Macaca mulatta: one gene and its partner. The protein of the gene in region 2 purifies or fractionates together with the protein of the main gene of each other region. This does not show direct contact. Links are inferred from orthologs where the notes say so. Each region holds a gene or a part of one and is shown on either strand. Other genes may lie near its edges.

Region 1 (4,440 bases), on a different chromosome or scaffold from region 2:
ATACAATGGACCTTAAATCCAGTTGTAGAATATTTACTACATCAGCAATATTCAAGATATATATTAAACAAAAAATGGAGATCAGAAATAAGATCTCATACTCCGGTTCAGGCAATATTTCAATAATGCAAAGACTTTATTTTGGCTTTCTTTACTTCAAAACTTTCAATAATCATGTTTATCAGAAAAATGTTATAAAAAATCTTACAAATATCTCAAAATAAAGAGACATGCTATTCATCCATTACACTAAGTATTTTACTTTATATCCTTACATTAAATCATTCATTCAAATATTTTCAAGCACCTACTATGTGCTGGACACTGTTAAGCTCTGGGAATGCAAAGATATATAAAACATCCAATCAAAAATATAACTTCAATAAGGAGTAAAGCTGATAAGGTACAGGGATATACCTGTCTTATGATCTAATTTGATTTACTTTCCCAATTAGATTACGAGACTGTTACGTGCCTGGACCTCATCAGCTTTACTCCCCATTGAAGTTATGTTTATATAATTTTAGCTGTTATTAAGGATCATATTTTAAAAAGAGCTGCAAGAGTAAAGTTTTAGCATGTTTTACAATTTATCGTATTATTTATAATGTCCAATATTCTGTTACATAAACGCTACAAAACTTTTGAAATCTGGAATAAAATTCACCCCATTCTTTACTTCCCAGCAGATTTTCAGAATATTAGAATAGTGGCATTCTCCTAAACAAGATGCCAGAACCAAGTCAGAGTCATCCATTCAGATACTCTGCTGAAGTCACAACATACTTCAGAAGCCAGAGGAGATACTGCCACCAAGGGGCTTACAGTGGAGACAAAATGCAGAATCCTAAGCGATAGAAAAAGAATACTACAATGACTGTGTTACTGTGTTATGTGTCCAATGACTAGTAAGGGAAAGATGAACTAAAAAAACAGCTAACTGCTGGAAAAATGGAAAGGAAGAGGAACAGTATCCACGAAACTGGATGAAAGTGGCATTTTAAGATTATTCTAGCACCAACGTACCAGATGAACTGAAGGATGGAAAAGTGCAAGCAGGCAGCATAGGTGAGAAACTGTTGTAAATCAGGAACAAAGTGTAAGGAAATGAATTAATGTGGTGGAAATGGGAATGGAAAGAAGACACAATGCCATACCTATTAAAAAGAGATAAAGCTAGGTGACGATATGGGGAACAAATAAAAAGCATCAGCTGAAGATTAAAGTTTCAAGTTTAGGTAACTGGGATAAATGACTTCCATCAAAGCAGAAAGTATGTGATGTCATATTTTTCTAGGGTGGGGTTATAAAGAATATATGGACAAAAGGTCAAAATAAGTATCTTTTGGACAAGCACAGAATTCACTTCAGACAAAGATGGAAAAGATCTGGCTACCCTTTCAGGAAAACAAATACAGTCAACTAGAATTCCTCTATTTAACAAATATTTATTATTAATAAATACCTACTATGTCCCAGGTCCTGTGCCAGAGCAGAAATGAAAGCACACATGCGAGTGTACAAAAGCACGCACTGCTTGACCCTGTCCTCTTCACCCCAAGGTCTGGTTTACGGCCAAACAACATTTCATGCTCTACACTGAGATATGGTGCTTTATTATTGCTACAAACATTTCATATTTTTTTCTCTGTGAGTTCTGCTTTTGAATACTTAAGTGATGATCTCCAGTGTCAATTTCTAAATTTAAGCTTAAGGCAATGTGGTGAGTAGAGACAAGAACACAGGTAGAGAAGAGAAATTTAATTTGGGCATCATCAAACTTCTGCATTCTTAGTTACCAATATTGATGACCATAACAACTTCAACCGTAAAACGGGTTGTATTACAGTCTTCCAAATTGCAATTCAGTCCTACATTTAGATCGTATGAAGCTCTGTTTTAAAACACTGTCCTACAGAAACACACAACTCACTTTAAGATTCAATCTACTTATTTTTTGAGAGCAACTGAAAACACAGAATTGTTGCCTGAAAAATCTCTGCAACTGTACATCTTTGGAATTAAACACATACCTGCAAGTTTAAAATTCTGCTCGTTTTTTTTTAGAGAGCCTTCAGCCTGAGACCGGTCACGCTGGGGAGAAAAAGCCATTGGCTCATCCATTTGAATCCCCAAAGACGCCTCCATCACAAGACAATTGGGATGCAAAATGCCAGCTAAGGGGTTACATCCACAGGGAAAGCAAAGCAGCTGTAAAAATTAGAACACTGGAGAAGTTTAGATCACTCGCTAAACCACGCACTAAAAACATGCCACTGCCCCCAAAGGGGCAAACATTTTCAAATGCACCATGTGTCCAAACCTCCACAGTAGGGCATACTGTGGCCTTTTCTAAGGAATTCCATGTGCTTTATTTTCACCTATCAGAAACGCCGGCAGGGGGCTGCAGGGAGAATTTCCCGGCTTGGGTACCCGCGCAGCAGCCGGCGCAGTGGGAAACGGCGAGGCTGCGAGTCCGGCGTAGCCTGCGGGACCGCGTGGGGGAGGGGCCGAGCGCCGGGGGCGGTTTGAAGTCAGGAAAAGGACAGAGGGAGAAAACCGTTTCGCCACTGACAGGGAGCGCCAGGAAGCTCGTCCAAGGCCCCACGCAAGTTGATGGAGAACTGATACGACCCTGGCTACGAGTACTGGGCGGAGGAGGAGATGGCTTAATGAATGGGAATCCTCCGACCAGCCCTGGCCGCGAGGTCAGCCGGAAAAGACCGGCTTCCCTCGGGCCAGAGACCGAACCAGATGCTTAGTACGCAGGCGCGCGACTTTCCCGCCGCAGGTCGGAGGGATCCGAAGGGGGGCGGGGAAAGGAACTGCACGGCGAGAAAACCGAAGTCACCATCCAGAATTCGTTCCTAATCCCTCACAATCCCGCGCCACGGAACAAACCGTCTGAAACTCACGGTTTAAGGGAGTACGACTTCTGGGGCTCCCCAGATGCCTGGGTCGCCGTCTCCAAGAGCTCCCCACCTACCGAGTGGATCGGATGCGCCTGCGCAACACTTCCCGCCGCAGCTCTCGTTGCACATGCGCACACTAAAGCCCTCGACCCAGCGGATTCCGCTACTGGGCGCTTGCGCAAGAGGCTGGGATTTCTTCCCGCCCCCTTGGCCAGCTGGAAGAGCGGTTACGGGAATGAAACCCCGGGATGATCTTAAAAAACAGGGTGAACCATAAGGCTAAGGGCCCAACATGATTTCCAGGAAAGAAACTAGCTCAGAGAAGGAAACACCTCAGGTGCTGACACATCCCTATATACCGTGGCCGCACAACACTTGGGTACTCCATGGATAGAAGGCACTTTCTTGACTCTCCTTTTATTTCCTTTTCATTGAGTGCCCTACTTTACGTTAAAAACAAGCAGAAAATGCTGATTATTTGTGACTGTGTTAGTAGAAATTAGCACAGTGGCAGGAAGGCAGTGTATACTGTTTACTGAGTCCTTGGCTCTGAGGTAGGCGGATTTCTAGGGGCTGAAATCATAGTGAGCAAGACAAACACCATCCCTGTAGGAAGCTAAATTCCAATGAAGCGATGACAATAACGGATGAATACATGAACAGTATTCTTTCCGGTATTGATTACTACTTGAAGGAAATAAAATGAAAAGATGTGATAGTACCTAGAAAGGTGGCATCTAGATGGTCAGGGAAGCCCTCTCAAAGAGACCTGGATGAGAAAGAGCTGGCAGGGAGACTACTGTTCTGGCAAAGAAAGGACAGGGCAAATGCAGAGAGAAAGGAACTTGGTATGTTGCAGGGGCAGGGCAGGAAAGGCCAGTGTGGGGGAAGCATAGTGAGTGAGCGGCAAGATAGTCCCAGATAGATGAGGGTGGAGAGTTAGGCAGAAGCCAGACCGTGGTCCTTGAAAGCCAGGGTAAGAAGTTTGGCTTTTATTTTGAGTACAATAGGAAGCTATTTGAAAGTTTTAAAGCAAGGGAGTGATACGATCTATGTGTTATGAAGAGAATGGATTATAGAGGGGCAAATGTGGAAGCAGAGGAAATAGGATGCACTTCATGTTTAGGAGAAAGATAATGGTAGTTTGGACCAGAACAATGGCGGAAGAAATAAAAGAAAGAAGACAATGGGATTTGGTGATTGGCTGTGGAAAATTAAGAAAAGGGCATCATCAAGAGTGAATCTTAGGTTTTGGGGCTAGCATATGTGTGGGTGGTAGTGCCACAGAGAAGGGAAGTCTGTGAGGTAATGGGTTTTGATTGAGTGAGGTGGAAGAGAGTAAATCAAGAATTCTAGTGTGGATACTGAGAAAGAGAAAAGCAGACCGTGACATCCAGGAGATGGCCTGGTACTACCAGCTTGGCTTGCCGTTGCTTTGAGCTGGCCTGGCAATCAAAGCTAAGCATTTTTATTCTTCTGTTGAACATAAACAATTTCACAGAACATCAAGACAAGACAGAGTTTGACC
Region 2 (2,478 bases):
GTGGGGCTGTGTGGCCCAGAACTCTCCTGGTCTGTCTGTGGGCTGCCAGGGGAAGGGGTCTGGGAGAGAGAGGCAGGTCTGTGAGTGGCACAAGGGCTGGAGAGAGGTGAGGAGCCTGGACTCATGGCCTGGAAGGGGAAGACAGGGAAGATGCTTGCCACCGGTTGTGCTGGTGCCACAGGGGTTGGGTGCTATTGGGACAAAAAATGAAGCCTGTGGCCAAGAGGCCCCCACTCTCTTCTCAGCATTGCCACTGGGGAACTGAACCTTGCGCTTGTGGCCAACAAGTGCCAGGTCTAGGCCAGAGGAGAGTTCCATAAAACCAGAGCTAGGCAGCAGGCGTTGGCAAGCAGGGTTCCTAGACACCAGTGTCTCTGGGGTGTCCATAAACACATCAACTAATCCCCTCAGGTCCTGGCAGGTTGCTATAGGTTCAGGTACCTCACCAGTCCCTGCACGTTCAGCTGGTGCCTGCGTGCTGTTCACTGTCCCATCCTGCTTTGGGACACCTGACACCTGGCAGCTGTCTTCCTTCCTTATCCTGGGAGATGCTGCCCTGGGATGGGAGGGCTGGCGGGGGTGCAGAGTCTTAGGACAGAGAGGGTCACAGTCAGAAGCTGGGGAACCTGACCACCTGTTGAGACAGAAACACCCAGTGAGCTGCAGGTTTCAACTTCACAGCAGGCCTGGGCCAGGGCTGAGGGCACAGGGAGAGCCGCCACAGCTGGCGGTTCATGTGCCGAGATGGCTGCCTTCTCTGAGGCCCTGTGTGAAAGTCCTCCTGTTTGGGTCTGAACCTGCCGCAGCAGTTAGCACTGTGTGCACTTCTCTTGGCTCTGTGGCCTGTGGTTGGGGCTGGCCAGAGGAATACGTTAGAGGCTATTCCATTTCATGACTTCACAGAGGAGGCTGTGCCCTTTGGCAGCTGAAGAAAGCAGTGCAGTTCCTGGCTGTGTGAGTTGAGCTTGAGGTGGAGATTTGGGGTGAGAGGTGAAGCCATAGCTCCAGATGGGAGAGGGTCTGCCTTGCTGGCAGCAAGGGGAAGCGGAGCTCAGAGGGCCCTGGAATTCCCACCAAACCCCATGCAGTCCTTCCTTCTGGTGGTGACTTCTACAGAGGGAGAAAGACTTTACTCTTCACCTATCTAGGAGAGGCCCGAGAACTACCCCCCTGCTCCCTGGCCGGAATTGCTTATCATCCACATCAAAGCCCGTGGGGTAGGAAGGGAGCCACAGTCTGGTCTGGGTCTAGTCTTCATCAACTGAGGCCACAAATGGAGGTCTTTTAATTTTTTTTTGGCCACCCCCAAAACAAACAGGACTGAGGATGAGGGGAAAGGAAGGTGAGAAAAGAGGAAAACATCACAGTCTGGTCCCAGCAGCCACCAACCTGAGGGTCTCTTCCCACCCAGAGGGCAACAGAGGAGAGTGCAGACGCAGTTATGCCTGCCAGCATGGCACTCACCTGGGGAGGCCGGCCTGGAAAGGGATGTCTACAAAGCTGTGGCTGAGCTGGGCAATGATCCTGTCCACTTCTGCATATGGATGGGCTTCTAGGGCAAAGCCCTGGTGCTGGGCACTCTGAAGATGCTGCCGGGGGGCGAGAGGAGGACAGGGCATTACATGAGGCCTGGGGGGAGGGGGACATGGAAGCTGACCTCCCAGCCCATGCTATGGCCCTGGAGGACACAGCCACAGCAGCGTGGAGATTGCACAGGAAGGACTCATCCCCAGTGAGCAGGATCCCTCAAGGCACTCTGGGAGCAGCTGCTTAGCGGGGAAGGGGCTCACCACATGGAGCTCCTCGAAGGCCTCTTGGCAGCACTCGCAGTAGCCTTTCTTCCTCCTGGGCATGGTGCGGGCAGCTGATCGCAGGCTTGGCTCTCCATCCTTGGATTCTCTGGGGAGGGTACATAGTGCAGCAAAGTGGTTACTGCTGGGTCCCTTGGGGGAGGAGCCACTACTTAGGGCCTGGAGCCTAGGTCAAGGAGGGGAAGGACTGAGACGGCCAAGGGGCTGGGCAGGCACCAGAAGGTGGGCCTTCCCTGAGCTTGGTACCAATCATCTAAGAACGGCAAGAGAGGAACAAGGAAGAAGACATCTGGAGACCTCCCTGTGGGCAGCCTGTCTTATCTCTGTCCTTCTCTTTTTTTTTTAGACAGAGTCTAGCTTAGTCACCCAGGCTGGAGTGCATTGGTGTGATCTCGGCTCACCGCAACCTTTCGCCTCCTGGGCTCAAGCCATTCTCCTGCCTCAGCCTCCCGAATAGCTGGGATTACAGGCACACACCACCACGCCCAGCTAATTTTTGTATTTTCAGTATAGATAGGGTTTCACCATGTTGGCCAGGCTGGTCTCGAACTCCTGACCTCAGGTGATCTGCCTGCCTTGGCCTCCCAAAGTGCTTGGATTATAGGCGTGAGCCACCGCTCCCGGCCATCTCCGTCCTCTTAAACCACAAGTGAGGATGGGGTGGTTA

Evidence for each region.
Region 1: the proteins of DBF4B (region 2) and CDC7 purify together in Homo sapiens (affinity purification with mass spectrometry; 3 studies listed by BioGRID and IntAct, counting the BioPlex papers as one, with this or other methods). This does not show direct contact. The link is inferred for Macaca mulatta from reciprocal best matches to the Homo sapiens genes DBF4B and CDC7.

The regions. Positions count from the first base shown.
Region 1 is NC_133406.1:148,808,811-148,813,250, forward strand, and holds the start of CDC7 (cell division cycle 7-related protein kinase), read right to left. Parts: upstream 3,014-4,440; 5' UTR 2,987-3,013; exon of another isoform or gene 2,916-2,986; intron 2,212-2,915; exon of another isoform or gene 2,178-2,211; 5' UTR 2,149-2,177; coding exon 2,034-2,148; intron 1-2,033. UniProt on the Homo sapiens protein: Kinase involved in initiation of DNA replication. Phosphorylates critical substrates that regulate the G1/S phase transition and initiation of DNA replication, such as MCM proteins and CLASPIN.
Region 2 is NC_133421.1:69,119,900-69,122,377, reverse strand, and holds part of DBF4B (protein DBF4 homolog B), read right to left. Parts: intron 1,900-2,478; coding exon 1,791-1,899; intron 1,590-1,790; coding exon 1,465-1,589; intron 1,111-1,464; coding exon of another isoform or gene 873-1,110; exon of another isoform or gene 635-872; coding exon 1-634. UniProt on the Homo sapiens protein: Regulatory subunit for CDC7 which activates its kinase activity thereby playing a central role in DNA replication and cell proliferation. Required for progression of S and M phases.